Notamacropus eugenii: one gene and its partner. The protein of the gene in region 1 interacts with the protein of each later gene in a pairwise test. Links are inferred from orthologs where the notes say so. Each region holds a gene or a part of one and is shown in the gene's direction. Other genes may lie near its edges.

Evidence for each region.
Region 2: the proteins of TECR (region 1) and HACD2 interact in binary tests that used the Homo sapiens proteins (3 or more experiments, as listed by UniProt). The link is inferred for Notamacropus eugenii from reciprocal best matches to the Homo sapiens genes TECR and HACD2.

Annotation. Positions count from the first base shown.
Region 1 is NC_092875.1:76,420,600-76,429,027, reverse strand, and holds the start of TECR (very-long-chain enoyl-CoA reductase), read left to right. Parts: upstream 1-4,847; 5' UTR 4,848-4,857; coding exon 4,858-5,020; intron 5,021-6,269; coding exon 6,270-6,286; intron 6,287-8,428. UniProt on the Homo sapiens protein: Involved in both the production of very long-chain fatty acids for sphingolipid synthesis and the degradation of the sphingosine moiety in sphingolipids through the sphingosine 1-phosphate metabolic pathway.
Region 2 is NC_092876.1:340,376,942-340,384,832, forward strand, and holds the start of HACD2 (very-long-chain (3R)-3-hydroxyacyl-CoA dehydratase 2), read left to right. Parts: upstream 1-4,455; 5' UTR 4,456-5,534; coding exon 5,535-6,073; intron 6,074-7,891. UniProt on the Homo sapiens protein: Catalyzes the third of the very long-chain fatty acids (VLCFA) elongation four-step cycle (condensation, reduction, dehydration, and reduction).

The DNA of each region.
Region 1 (8,428 bases):
GCAAATGATAAAAAAGATAATTCTGATTACTTGAAATTGAAAATTTTTCTAAGCAAACAAAATTAATGCAACTAGAATAAAAAGTGATTGACTGGGGAAAAAACTTTATATTAAATATCTCTGACAAAGGTCTGATATTCAAGATGTACAGGGTCATTTGTAAAAGTCAATGTAGCTTAGATTAAAACTGCACCAAGATTTTTGGGACTCTCCATATAGGCAACTAAAATATCTAAAATAAAAAAAAATACCCAATAGATATGTAGTCAAAAGATATTAACAAACTGTTCTCAAAAGAAGAATTGTAAACCATTAATAGTCATATGAAATAATGTTCCAAATCACTAACTGGTAAAGATAACAAAAGACAGGAAAAGTCAATGTCGAAGGGGTGGTAGAAGGACAGGAACAGTATAATGCACTGTTGGTGGAGCTGTGAATAGGTTTATTATGCAAAAAAAGTAATAAAAATGTTACTTTTGTTAATCTGACCCAGAGTCTGTGCTGTTAGACATCATCATTATCACCATCACATATATATAGCGCTTACTATGTGCTCTAAAATTATCTCATTGGATCCTAACAACACCATGGGAAATAGTTGCTACTATTATTTTCATTTTACAGATGAAGAAACTGAGGCAAACAAAGGTTAAGTAACTTGCTCAGGGTCACACAACTACTAAGTATCTGAGGCTGGATTTGAACTCAGGCATTGTCGATTCCAGGCTCAGCATTCTATTCACTGCCCCACTTAACTGTGTGTCTCCTCTCCCACACCCCAAATCCCTTAGGCACTGACCTGAAAGGTCAATGACAAAAAGAAAGGTTCTATCTATAACAAAATATTTATAGCATCACATTTTGTAGTGGCAATGAGCTGGAAATGAAATAGCTGCCCATTGATGGGGAAACAGTCAAACAAACTGTGGTTTGGGAATATAGTGGAATCTGATGAGAAACATGAATATGAGGAATACAAGGAAGCCTGGAAAGACACATGTGAACTGATGCAAAGTAAACAGAACCAGGAAAAGAATCCACATATTGACTGTAACAATATCGATGGTAACAACAAAACAACTGCAACCAAACACTGGGAAATTACAGTGGCCAAATGTAGCCCCAAAGAGCAGAGAGGGGAAAGCACCTCAGCCTTTCTTTGTAGAGATTTGGGGGCTTTGAGCACCACACACAACATTAGAGTTTTCAATATCTTAGTTTTGCTGAACTGTTTTTCCCCTTTAAAAATTTTTTGCTCTCTGAATGTTGGGGGGAGGGATTTGTTAAGAAATGTAGGTGAAGCAAAAAAGAAATATATCAATAAAAATTTTTAAAAATTAGTACTTATACTTCTTTCTTTGAGACACATCTGTGATGTAGCTAATATACTGTTATTGCCGTTCTGTTGATGAAGAAAATGAAGTTCAGAGATTAAATGATTTGCCAGAAAAAAAAAAGACATGAAACCAGGGACAGAGTCAGGTTTCTTGACTCCAAATGCTGCACTCTTTCCACTATAAATGGAGGATTTGACTTAATATTATCTCTTTTTTTTCAGATTCAAATTTTCACTAAAATCCTATACCACTCTCTCATCTTGGCATGCAGATGAGTCATCCTGGGTTCCCAAAGCCTCTGTTAGGGAGCACAAGCTCTGACAGGTCCCACAAACTGGAAAGGTTCCTTTTTGGATGACTGTCATATGACTTCAGAGTTGCTGGGAATCCAACGATTTTTTTTTTTAACCATACCAACTTATGAAACCAACTACTAAGACATGGAATGGTCATGATTAAATTTTATTCAAGAAACACTAAATGCCTACTCTGAAACAAACTAAGAGAGCTAAAATGTTTTGATAAGACAGATCCTTACTCTTACACCTCTGGAACTGGAGATCTTTTGAAACATTGGTGGAAAACTGAGGCTCAGCAAAATTAAATGAGATTGCTTCTGATCACTCTTAATCTCAGTGCTTTCTACTTGATGGGGACAGGGATTGCACCTGTGATTACACTGGTACAGGGAATTTCTGGATGAGAAAACTCCCTCTTCCTACAGATGGTCAGCACTTTCTCCTCAACTTATTGTCCCACACCTAGGTCACTAAGCAGTTAAGTGACTTCCTCAGAGTCCCATATTCAGTGTGTATCACAGGTAGACCATGAACTCATTTCTTCTGTGTTCCAAGGCCAGCTCTCTACCTACTACACTGCCTGCCTTCTCCTTCTACTTGATATTGGTAGTTTTGTGGGACTGCGACATGACTCTAGAAAGCTTATTAGTTCTTTCCCCCCGGCAAGCAAGCAAAAGGGTGATAAACTGATGTAGGGCACTGTAGCTTCCCAATAAGAATGAACTAAAGGTAATGGAAAATCATAGTTTTCCATAAACCAGGATGACTCATTGACTTGGAATGTGCTTAAAGTCTTTTCTATTTCCATGTAAGTCAGTGGGTTACCTTTACTGATTCTGGTGTCTGTCTTTGGCTTCAATTCAGGTTGCAAAGGCTTCTGGCTGGATGCAACAGTCTGACCCACCTACCAGAAAGTGAGCAGTTCAGTGCTGATTGGTAGTTGGACACCTGTTGTTGGGGGAGAGAGCAAAGAATGAAAATGGTGAAAAAGTGTGATCCTCTGAACATTCTTTGGGTCATGCCCCATCTGGCTAAACCTAGGAGTAAACAAATGCCAATCTCAGCTCCCTAAGCCCCAAACCAGGTTAGAGAATCATAGAATCACACAAAATGAGCTGTTAGGGACTTGAGAGACCCATCTAATCCCATCTAGACATTTTACAGATGAGGAAATGGAGGTATGGAGAAGGCTTGACCAAAGTCACACAGTTAATAATTGAGATGGGATTTGAAGAAAAGTCTCATGACTCCCACTTAATTTTCTTTGCACTAGAATTTGCCTGAATATACTATGCCAAGAGAGGAGTTCCCTTCTCTAAAGGAGTTAGCCATTTTCTATTGACCTTTGGGAACAGAAAGGGTAAGAACCCAGTCTACAGTGGGTTCCTAGGATTCATCACTTGGAAGAGAACATAAAGATTTGATTTAACCTCTTCTCCAAAATGAGATAAGAAAAGCTTGAGGTCTAGAAAAAGTGGTGTTCAACATCATGTGTTACAGATAGGCAGGCTGGAACTCAAATCTGCAAGTTTGGTGTCCTTTCCTTTCTGACCCAGATGTCTCCCATGGCTTAAAAATTGCTACAGAGAGGCTTGCTGAAATGTTATCTAGTTGAGGCCAATTCTTGCTATTATGGTGCAAGGCAGGGTTGTCCAGGAAAGAAAGACTTTAGGATTCATTCAATCCCATGCAACAATTATCTTTTAAGCAGATTTCCCCATCTTGACCTCAGGGGGCTTCCAGTTAAACTGGAGAATACTGGTAGGCAGGCAGATGGATATATTTTTAAAATATGAAGGTACATATGTGTATGTGTGTATATATACATATATACACACATATGTAGGGGTAGCTAGGTGGCTAAGTGGATAGAGTACCAGATCTGGAGTCAGGACGAGTCATGCTCCCGAATTCAAATCCAACCTCCTACACCAGCTAGTTATGTGATCCTGGGCAAGTCACTTAATCCTGCTTGCCTCAGTTTCCTCATCTGTAAAATGAGCTGGAGAAGGAAATGGCAAACCACTCCAGTATCTTCGCCATGAGAATCCCAAACTGGGTCACAAGGAGTCACACATGACTGAACAACAAATTATATATGTATATATGATTACCTATGGGAGACAGGGACCACGCGGCTCCCCCTTCCCGCGCCCCTTCCCCCCAAGCCTGTAGAAATGGAGAGACCTCAAGGGACCCCCTCACCACCAGGCTCCCCTGCGGCCTAGTGGGCGCCACACGCCCCCAGTTCCTTCAGCCCGCCAGGCCGGCCCGCTCCTATCTTCCAGGGGTAGGTCTTTGGGTCAGATGGTCATCCCCGCGCCCAGGGTCCGCAGATGCCCACCTATCAGTCCCGCAACTGGGTTCCCCCGCCCGCCATGTTTGCTCCTGCTTCGGCTCGTCCCACGCTCCTGTCACTCAACCGCTGCTTTCCCCGCCTCCAATAACCGTCACTACCTTCGGTTTCCATAGGGAAGCGTGGGGGTGAGGCAAGGGCAGAGTCTACTCCCTCTCCTGATTGGCTGCGAGAGCTGCATCGCCCCCCCCCCCCCCCGTCTGGTCCTACCACCCCTCAGCGGGCCGCCGGTTCCACAAGCTCATTGGTCAGCCGTGTGGCGCGAGGAGGTAACCATCTGGGATCCTGCGCAGCCTCGCGCGTGGTGCTAGGTCAAAGGTGAGAGCGCTTCCCTCCTCCCCTCCCCCTCGTGTCTTCCCACTAGGCGCTGATTGGCCGGCGAGGCGCGCACGAGGTGGGAGGGGGAGGGGCAGGGGGCTGGTGGGCGGGCGTCGTTGGTAGCCTAGGCCGGGTGTGAGCCAGGAGTGAGGCTCTCAGCAGTGGTTGTCGCGAGCTAGGAGGCGGCTGCGGCTCGTGGGTGAGAGGGAGCCATGAAGCACTGTGAGGTAAGGAGAGACAAACTCATCTGGCTGGGGGTGGGAGTGAGGGGGGAGGAAGGGCAAGGAGACGGGGAGGAGCGCCACAAGCGCAACGGAGACTCTCCTCAGGATCGAGAAGACCCCTGCCGCACAAAAAGCCCCAACAAAACCCCAAGACTCAACGCAAACCTTAAATAGTCCCGTGACCCCAAACCCCAAACAGCCCCGGGCTCTGAGGCTGAGAGGAGGACGCAGGCGCAGTTAGAGCACGAAGTGCCTCAGGCCGCGGGTAGGTGTTAGTGCGCATGTTCAGGGAGGTGGGGAGCGGTATTTATGACGTGCAGATGGAGCCTGGGGGCAGGGGTGGAGGGTCCCGGTGCGGGATGTTTGGTTATTCTTGTTGTGCTAGAAGCAGGTTTAGTTTTCTCCGAGCTGGAAGAGTCTCTCCTTGTAAAGAAGGAGAAGCTGGGGCCGGGAGAAGGGAAATGACTGGCCCAGGTCACACTGGTAATGAATGACGAGCCTGGCCAGGTTTGGGTCTGGGTGTCCTGAACCCACTTTCCCTTGTACTGTTGCTGCTCTGGTTCATAGCAGGCACCGAGTTGATCAATATGTATCGATTTATCCTATTCCTGGTTAGGAGGAGGTAGCAGTCTTCAGATCCTGGTGGGAGCGAGGAGAACTTGCACCAACCTGGATGCACCATGTACCTTATCAACTGTGTTGACCTGAAAACTTGGTTAAGAAAAGGCAACAGGCTAAATGCATACATTTTATGATTTAATTAATTAATCAATTCCCTATTAAAGAAAACGTTAACATAATGTATTATGGAGCCAGAAATGTTCTGGCTACCCAGTGCAGAAATCTTCTGGCTTATATACATTTTGCCATGAGAAAGGAACTCTCCTAGTTGAACAAATCATAAATTCAGTAAGACAAGACAATTAACAAAGTAATGTCAGTTGGGCCTTGGGATTCCAGGCTGTGTAAACATACGTCTTGGTGACAAGGAAAGAAATCCCACCACTAGTGAGTGGCAGGCTTCCTGCCCTAAACAGATAATTGACGTAGAAAAGGGTAAACAAAGTTCAATAGAAATTACGACCTAAGATGTCTATATTTTCTTTACCATTAATATGCCATAACATAGTATATGTCTATAGATAATAAGATATAAAGGAAAGTCCCATTATTCAAGATAATGTCCTAGGTTAAAGGTCTCCTAAGGAATGTAGAGTCAGCCTTGGCTGGCTTTGTTAACATAGGAAGAGGCACCCTCTGAGTTTGCTTCAGAGAGAACAAAGAGATTATTCCAAAATTTTATATTAAACATTATCAACTGTCACCTGTTTGACGTTTGTACACCTTTGTAGGGGTATAGAATACCCCTTCTCCTGAGCTTGTGCCCTGTGCACTTTGCTGTAATTCTTATTTAGGGGGAAGGTGATAGCAGAGCCTTGCCAACGGCATCTCCAGATTTGTCCTGTCTGATCAGTACAGTTGATAAGCCTTCCTGGGGATCTTATAATCTCAGGATGTCAGCTAAAACAATCTGCCCATTTCAAAATCGATAAAAATGTGGAAAGTAGTCTGTCTTAGGTCTAGTCTAGAACTTGAGTCTTATCAGGCTGAAGTTACTACACATGAAGCCATCAGGATTTAGGCCTTTCCCAGTTCTTATGGTTATGGGTTTTAAAGCATGAAGGCACTGTAGAGATCATCTAATCTTATTCTCTCATTTTATGGGAAACAGAGACCCACATTCAAACAGTAAGTAGCAGAACTGAATTCTAATTTTCCAGGTTTCTTTTATAAACTATATACACTGTCTCTTGATTCCTCAGTCTAGGACTTCTAATATTATGTATCTGTCATCATTATGTCAACCTACTGGATCGTAGGTTCATAGATTTAGAGTTGGAAGAGATGTTAGAGGTCGTATAATTTAACTCCTTTTCATTTTACAGGTGAACAAACTAAACCTGAGAGAAGTTAAGTTACACAATTAGTGAGTCTGAGGCAGGATTTGAACCTGAGTCTTTCTGACTCCAAGTCCAGTACTGTATCCCCTATATTTTGTCTTTATTTTTTGGGAGATGTAATTACTGCTACCCTTTCCCTTTTAAAAGATTTTTGTGAGAATTCCTCCTATAGGTCCTTAACCATTTTTTATTCATCTATAAGATAAAAGACATCTAGGTGGTAGAGTGAATAGAGCACCAGGAGTCAGGAAGACCTGAGTTCAAATTCAGCCTTAGATACTTATTAGACTGTGTGACTCTGGGTAAGTTAACTGTTTGTCTCAGTTTCTTCATCTGTAAAATGAGCTGGAGGAGGAAATGGCAAATCAGTCTCTCTGCCAAGAAAACTTCAAATGAAGTCACAAAGAGTTGGGCACAATTGAAACAACTGAACAAGATTAAGGGGGTTGGATCAGATCTCAAAGTTCACTTAACTTTATGATTGTTATGTCTTTGTAAAATAGTTTCCTTCTCCTTTTCCTTGCCCTTGTTGTAACATTTGTAAAAAAAGTAAGGTTTCATTTGACATGTAGAATTCATCATATATGCTAAAGTTAATTAGGCTGCTTTTGGGTTTTGTTGTATTTAATACCATTGAAATTAAAATAGTTCCCCCTTCACAGGGTATAATTACACAGAAGAAATTACACTCACCTGCAACTACTCCCATTTCTGTCTTCTAACAATGAGATCACTTGGTTCCTTTTAAGAAAGATGTTGCTTTGTATCCACTGTTCAGAATGACTGAACGTTGACTGGATTTGGGGACAATGCATTATTATTTGTTGATAATTCATCAACATCTTTGAATGTGTTCTTGCCTGCTGAGAGGGGATAGCACTTTTAGGTTCTGTAGTTTATAGAGGAGCCTGTGTGTCACCAGCCCCTTAAACTGGCAACCACAGAACTAATTAGAGCTAGGTTTTCCAAGACAGATTTGCCTGTGAAACAAAACAATTTGGGGTCAGCTCTTGATGAAATTCATAAATCTAAGGGATCATAGTGGAGAGGACATGTAGCTTTTAAAGCCACGAATAACTGTAAAAAGTTGGATAGAATCTTAGAGGCCTCCCTTTGTTTTACAGTTGAAGAAGCTGCAGGCCTAAGAGGTTAAGTAACTCCCTAGGTTACACAGTAAGAAGTTAAGCTGGGAGGAGCACCTAGGTCCTCTGACTTCTAATCCTTCATTTTGTCTAGTTGCCTTTATCCGTGTAATAAAGCAAAGGTTGAGGAAATTTGGGAGCAAAGCAGGGGAAAGTAAGCCTATTTTCATATAGAAAAATTGCTTCAAAAATAAATTTTTTTTTTACCCAACTTAGTATCTCTAGTGTTTAACAGAACAGGAACTTAATAAATGCTTGTTGAAGGAATGACTGTTTCCAGGAAAGTATTACTCTTGATAGTTCATAGGGTGAATATAATGCCATGAGGTGACTGGAGACCAAGTTATTCTGGAAAAGAGGAGAGAAGACTTAGCTAGGGGCATGCTTTCTTCACATTTTGGAGGGCTGTTTGTATAGAGGAGTGATTGAACTTGTTATGATTGGTTTACTGAGGGCAGAACTAGCAGAGACAGGGACATCTTTGTGAGAGGTAGATTTCATCTCTGTAATAGAGATGTCGAAAAATAATATGGATTGACTTTGATACTTCTCTGCCATTAAGGAGGAATCTTTCTTTCTGTTTTAAGGATTGTTAGTCTTGAAGTTACAGGTTCAGCCCCTCAGCCTCTTTCTGGCTGAGGCACTTGGAGTTCCACGGTTAGAAGCCAGAAAGAGACCATTTAACTTAGAAGGTAATAGGCCTAAGGAGGGCAAGTGATATGTCCAGCTCACACAGTGCAGGCCCCTGTGGCACATGGCACATTTTAGAGGTTTATATTGTTGGGCCA
Region 2 (7,891 bases), on another chromosome or scaffold:
TAAGAGTCACAAATTAAGCGGCAAAATTAGTGCCTAACAAAAAGTTGTGCAGCCAACGTATTTTTTAAAAATGCTTACTGATTTCCTATTACTACAAAAGTTGACTTATTTGTTATATTCCTGAAGTATGATGATTTAATTTTTCCAAATCAAATTGCTTTTCCTAGTAATTTATGGCTTTAGAGATGCTTTATCTCCATTTCCAAGGATCTAAGGCTCTTCAAATGACAGTGTTAAATTACTCTGCCACCAGCTTCCAGCCTCTCTGTAAATAGATATTTCAGGGATCTGTGATTATCGACATGGTTACTTCCTCCATCAAGACAGACTGCAACTTCCTCTGTGCCTTAGTTTTTATGAGTTGCTGCAATAAAAGAAGTTTACCATCCTGCTGCCAAGTTAGTGGTAAGCCTTTCTGATCTTAGGTTGGTCTTCAGAAGAAGGACATACAATCTATCACTGAGTCCACACTCAAAGCTTTTTAAAAAAACATTTTTTTCCCAATTAATTAAGATGGGCCTTCTCTCCCTCCTTCTTCTCCCCTATCCTCAAACCACTGAAGAAGAAAAACAAAGCCCATCACAAACATGTATAGGCAAGCAAAACAAATTCCCACATTGGCTACATACCAAAAAAATGTCTCCTCCTGCACTGATACATCTTGACCTCTGACAGGAAGAGAATAACATGTTTCAACATCAATCTTCTGTACTTGTAGTTGGTCATTTTGTTGGTTGGAGCTCAGTCTCCCTAAGCTGCCTTTACAGCAACATTATTAAACAAATTGTTCTAATTCTGCTCACTTTACTTGGTCATCGGTTCACAACAAGCTTTTTCAGGTTTTTCTCAAACCATCCCCTCTTCATTATTTCTTATTGCAAAATAGTACTCCTCGAAGGAGGAGTCAAGATGGCAGAGTAGAAAGATACACATATGCTAACACAGCCCATAAATTACCTGTAAAGAAGAATTCCCAACAAATTCTGAAGCAGCAGAAGCCACAGAACAATGGAGTGGAGGAGATTTCTGTTCCAGAGAGCCCTGAAAAACTGACACGAAAGGTCCGTTGCACCCGGGACCCAGAGTAGAGCCCAGCCTTGTCTCAGCCAGGGCACCAAGAGGAGCAGATCTGAGCAGGCTTCAGGGACAGAATCTCTAGCAGTCGCGCAGGTCCCTCCACCCACAGGGGCAAAGGTCAGTGAGAGGGTCTCTTTGGGTGGCTGAGAGGGGAGTGGGGTGTCTCCATAACTCAGGCCCCCTTGGGAGGCAGCAGCAGAGGCAGCAGCAGACAAGGGCTGCCAAAGCAGGCAGGAGCTCAGATCCATTGTTGGAGGTCTCCCCATAAACCCCCTGAGGGAACTGAGCCCCGGGAAGCGGCCCTGCCCCCACCTGAGCACCTGAACTTAATCTCATACTGAATAGCAGCCCCACCCCTGCCCAAAGCCCTGAGGCTGGGAAGCAGCATTTGAATCTCAGACACCAACCGATAGCTGGGTGGATCTGGAGGTGTGGTGGGTGTGAAGAGGAAGCTCAGAAGTCAAGTCACTGACTGGGAAAATGCCCAGAAAAAATAAGACCATAGAAGGTCACTTTCTTGGTGAACAGATACCTCCTCCCATCCTTTCTGATGAGGAAGAACAATGCTTACCATCAGGGAAAGACATAGAAATCAAGGCTTCTGTATCGCAAACATCCAAAATAAATATTCAATGGGCTCAGGCCATGGAAGAGCTCAAAGAGGATTTTGAAAATCAAGTTAGAGAGGTGAAGAAAAACTGGGAAGAGAAATGAGAGAGATGCAAGAAAAGCATGAAAAGCAGGTCAACACCTTGCTAAAGGAGACCCAAAAAAATGCTGAAGAAAATAACACCTTGAAAAATAGGCTAACTCAATTGGCAAAAGAGGTTCAAAAAGCCAATGAGAAGAAGAATGCTTTCAAAAGCAGAATTAGCCAAATGGAAAAGGAGGTTCAAAAGCTCACTGAAGAAAATAGTTCTTTCAAAATTAGAATGGAACAGATGGAGGCTAATGACTTTATGAGAAACCAAGAAATCACAAAACAAAACCAAAAGAATGAAAAAATGGAAGATAATGTGAAATATCTCATTGGAAAAACAACTGACCTGGAAAATAGATCCAGCAAAGACAATTTAAAAATTATGGGACTACCTGAAAGCCATGATCAAAAAAAGAGCCTAGACATCATCTTTCATGAAATTATCAAGGAAAACTGCCCTGAGATTCTAGAACCAGAGGGCAAAATAAGTATTCAAGGAATCCACCGATCGCTGCCTCAAAGAGATCCAAAAAGAGAAACTCCTAGGAACATTGTGGCCAAATTCCAGAGTTCCCTGGTTAAGGAGAAAATATTGCAAGCAGCTAGAAAGAAACAATTCAAGTATTGTGGAAGTACAATCAGGATAACACAAGATCTAGCAGCTTCTACATTAAGGGACTGAAGGGCATGGAATAGGATATTGCAGAAGTCAAAGGAACTAGGACTAAAACCAAGAATCACCCACCCAGCAAAACTGAGTATAATACTTCAGGGGAAAAAATGGTCTTTCAATGAAATTGAGGACTTTCAAACATTCTTGATGAAAAGACCAGAGCTGAAAAGAAAATTTGACTTTCAAACACAAGAATGAAGAGAAGCATGAAAAGGTAAACAGCAAAGAGAAGTCATAAGGGACTTACTGAAGTTGAACTGTTTACATTCCTACATGGAAAGACAATATTTGTAGCTCTTGAAACTTTTCAGTATCTGGGTAGTTGGTGGTATTACATACATACACACACACACACACACACACACACACAGAGCACAGAGTGAATGGAATAGGATGGGATCATATCTTAAAAAAATTAAATTAAGGGGTGAGAGAGAAATATATTAGGAGGAAAAAGGGAGAAATGGAATGGGGCAAATTACCTCTCATAAAAGAGACAGGCAAAAGACTTTTTAGTGGAGGGAAAAAGAGGGGAGGTGAGAGAAAAACATGAAGTTTACTCTCATCACATTCGACTAAAGGAAGGAATAAAATGCACACTCATTTTGGTATGAAAACCTATCTTACAATACAGGAAAGTGGGGGAGAAGGGGATAAATAGGGTGGGGGGATGAGGGAGGGGAGGGCAATGGGAGAAGGGAGCAATTTGAAGTCAACACTCTTGGGGAGGGACAGGATCAAAAGAGAGAATAGAAGCAATGGGGGGCAGGATAGGATGGAGGGAAATATAGTTAGTCTTACACAACACAACTATGATGGAAGTCATTTGCAAAACTACACAGATATGGCCTATATTGAATTGCTTGCCTTCCCAAAGGGAATGGGTGGGGAGGGAGGGATGAAGAGAAGTTGGAACTCAAAGTTTTAGGAACAACTGTCGAGTACTGTTCTTGCTACTAGGAAATAAGAAATACAGGTAAAGGGGTATAGAAAGTTATCTAGCCTACAGGACAAAGGAGAAGATGGGGACAAGGGAAGGGAGGGATGATAGAGGAGAGGGCATATTGGTGATAGGGGAAATTGGAATGCTCAGTGATTTGGGGTGGGAGGAGGGGACAAATGGGGAGAAAATTTGGAACCCAAAATTTTGTGCAAATGAATGTTAAAAGTTAAATAAATTTTTTAAAAAGTAGTACTCCTCACCATTCATACATCCTAACTTATTCAGCCATACCACAATTGATGGGTAACCCATTACCGATTATTGTAAACACAAAAGAGCTATTATATTTCTGTATCTATGGTCCTCTTCTTTTTCTTTTGACTCTCTTTGGGGCACAGAACTAATGTTGGTATTGCTGGGTGGTACATAGATTAATAACTTCTGGGACACAGTTCTAAATTCCTTTTCAAAATGACTCAACCAGTTCAATTCCATCAGCAGTGCATTCATGCACCTGTTTGTTTTCCACTACCCTTCAGCACTTGTCACTTTCCTTTGTGTCAATCTAATAATGGGTGTGAGGTGGAACTTCAGAGTTGTTTTAATTTGCATCTGTCTATTAGTGATTTAGGGCATTTTTTTCATGTCTATTGACAGCTTGGATTTCTTCCCCTGAAAAATGACTAATCATATCTTTTCATCATTTTTATCAACTGGGGAATGGCTTTAAAGCTTTTCCAATGTGCGATAAGCCCTGTCAGAGCCCTTAACTCACTCTCAGTCTTTGAAGACAAGGTGACCTCTGCCACAAATGAGAACCTAGAAATTTAATGTGTGTAGGATTTTAATAAAAGGTCAAGTACATCTATACCTAAATAGACATGAATTACCATCGATGTTAACAGTCCTATGAAAAATGCAGAGGAAGTTTTACTGGTTGGCAGATGAAAAAACTGAAGCACAGAAAAATTAAATGACTCCCACAGGAAGTAGCAGTTCTACTAAACCCTGTCAGTTCTGCGTACTTCCTCATACACACTACTAACAAGCATTTCATTTTTTAAAATATATTTTATTTCATTAAATATTTCCCAATTACATGTAAAAAAATGTAAACATTAAAAAAAAAATTTTGGAGTTCTAAATTCTTTCCCTCCTTCCTTGACAATGTCTCCCACCCCCTGAGAAGGCGAGCAATATATCGATTACACATGTGAAGTCCTGCAAAACATATTTCCCTATTACCCATGTTGCAAAAAAAAAAAAACCAGTGCCCCTAAAGAAAATTAATAAAAAATTTAAAAGTACCCTTCAGCCTGCACTGAGTACATCACTCATCTCTCTGGAACATTTTTCCTCGTGGGTTCTCTGGAATTTGTCTTGGATTATTCTGATCAGAGAAACGCTTTGAAGGAAACTTTTTGTAAAGCAGATATTCCCCATTCATGGATTTCCCAAGCACGCTGTCTAAACTAGACTTTGTTTTAAGCTGAGCATTCAATTTCACACGTGTTGATTGGAGATGATTTCTGCCACCAGCTGAATTCCTTCTAAAAGGCAGGAATCGGAGAAAGGGGCACTCCAGGGACGCCCCGGGAAACGGAGAAGGGCTTTTTACTCGAAAACCCGGGGGCAGGGCTGTTTTCCGTGCTCGGCTCTCCCCCGGACAAAGGGTTCGTCCTTACAATGACAGAACACCCCGTCCTTTTCCCCACCCCACCCCCAGGGCCTGCGTTGCTAGCCTCGCAGATGTGGAGAGCAAGGCACGCCCCCTCACCCGCTGCTGCCCGTCTACCAGGGAAAATACGGTAACCCGGGGTGAAGCCCCAAAGGCGACCATTCCTTAGGCGATCAGGAGCACGGGCTTCCAGGCAAGCCTCGGCCCCCGGACTATCCCGGGGAAGGCGTCCTTTTCCGCCCGGAGAACCTCAGTTTCCCTCATATGTAAATGAAGGAGGGGCGGGGCTGAGAATTCAAAAGGCCCCTTTCTCACTTGACTTCCTGTGACTCTGCGTTCTCAAGCCCTCCCTCGATTCAGCCAAACGGACGTGAAAAGAATAAAACGAGAGGCTGGAAGGTACAAAGTCCTCGGCGTCTTCCCCTTCACTTTCAGGAAGCGGACACACCTCCCCGCCCGGGGCATGACGTTAGCCAATCGCCACAGCGAGCGCGAGGCCCGGGCAACGAGTGCCTCGCTGGGTCAAAAGCGGCCCTGCCTGAGGTCTGGAAGGGGTGGGGCTACGTTCGCTTGCCCTCATCCAACATGGCGCGCCGGGAAGTGGAGAGAGGCGCATCGTTTGGCCTTGCGGGTCAGTTTCCCTGATCAAAGATGGCGTCTAAGGCGTTCTTTCCTTCCCTTCCCCCCTCCACCCAAGCGCTCCTCCCCGACCCCTCCCCGTCACGCGGGCCCCGCCTCCCACTCCTCAAAGCCGTCCAGCTTCCAGTCTCCGGGCCAGGCGCACTCGGTGGCGCGTTCTCTCCACCCGGGGCAGGTAGGGATCGTCTCTTTGGACATGGCGGCGACTGCGGCGGCGTCGGGGTCTTCGGCGACTGGGACGAAGGGAAATGGGAGCGGCGGCCGGCCTGGGCCCAGTGAAGCCGGCGGGCCGCGGAAGAAGAAGGGGCCGGGGCCCCTGGCCACCGCGTACCTGGTCATATACAATGTGGTGATGACTGCGGGGTGAGGAGGGGAAGGGGCCGCAGGTGACAGGGGCGGGGGATGGGGTGGGAGGGAGAGTTGAACCTGGGCGGGGGGGGGGGGGTCCCCCCGCGAGCCCGGAGACCTCCAGCGAGCATGCGCCCTGACTGCGGGCGTCCCTTCATTCATTCATTCTCTAACCTGTTCCACGAAGCGGGACTACGGAGCTGGGGCTGAAAAGATGAATGAAGCCAGCCCAGCCCCTGCCCCCCGGGGCTCCGCGCGTCCTTACGGAGGAGCGAGTCTGGTGCGGGATTTAGGGATGGGCGGGGGAGGGAACGCCGAGAGCAAAGGGCCGAAAGGGAGTGGACCGAGCCCGAGAGGAAATCGGGGAGGATGGGCAGGCAGTGTCCATTAAAAACCGATGGTGCGAAGCCTGGAAACGCAGAGGAGCTGGTTGAAGGTTTTGGCCGGGGTGTGTAGAAGCGATCCCAGGGGAGGGAAGCTGGAGGAAAACAGACTTGTGGGACAGAGAGTCTGGGTTGGGGGGTGGCATGGGAGAGACCCAGGAGATGGGGAGCTGAGTGTCTTGGGAGGCAACTGCAAAGATTCCCACCCGAGCTGGTTTTAGGGAGGCAGAAGGTCTAATATATGGAGGACTTTTTTTTTCTTCTTCTATGTATGGGAAAGACAGAGGCTTATCGATATAAAAAGGGCCAGAGAGGAGTTTGAGAAATTCAGATTGTAGCCGAGTGATCAGAAGGGAATCTTAATAACATAATCTGGAGTATGAATTGGGGGGAGGGGGAGGTGTCTTCAACTGGGAAGAATTTGAGTAGATTGAGAAAAATTAACCTATTGCCAGGATGTTGATAACTTACTTTTCTTTCTTTTGGGAAGTCTTAAAACAAATTTTTTTTTGTCCCTCAAAGGACCTAGTACAGTGTTTTGCACATTCTTTGCACTTAATGATTATTACCACTACACTTGGTGCCTAATGAATACCTGATTTGGAAAAAAAAAATCATTTAAACATTTAAAGAGACCTTAATTTTTTAGTATTCTTAAAATGTCACAGATTCAGTCTAATGGGGGAAAGACTGCTGAACTAGTAAAAACTCTGAATGTAGACCCAAAATAGTAAACTTTCAAGGTATAATAGTCAAAATAGACTAAAATGTTCTCAGAGGTTTCTAGAAAACTTTAATGAACCGACTGCATGTGCCAGTTTGAGGATTTGGAAGTACTTAAGGATCCCTTAAAATCATTGTTTTGATGTTTATTTTTTGGTTCCTCAGTTGTTGGAAAGTCAATTTCAACCCTGTTTGGGCAGTTTTGAATCCATTATCATAGGAATTGAAGAGGTTTACCATAATTCACAGAGAATTAGAAGTGTTCTCTGAGTCCTGGACATGGGCTGTATAGATGAACTGAACAGGCCGACCAGCCAGGAATGGTGCCTGTGCCACTGCCTAGTGCCCTTTCTCAGGCTTTTCCAAAGTACGCTCTGCAGCTTCAGACATTTGGGCATAGATGTGCACTTCTCTCTACCTTGGGGCATCAGTTATTAGGCTTCTGTCCAGAGCTACATTCTAATTCGGAGGGTTAGTTGGAGGTGGGCAAGAGGAAGGACTGAACTTCGTTTCCCAGTGGGGTTTCCATCTTTGGTTGGTTGGGAGCTGGACCAAAGTGTTTATATTAAACCATCTTTTCTTTCATTATCAATACTCAGGATAAAAAAGTATTTTATCCAATTTTACTATTTTTCTTGGTATCAAGTACTGATGTTAATATTAATTCTTACTACTTTTCACTGTAAATATATTATGACTTTTTTGGTTTGGCCAAAGAACTTCCACA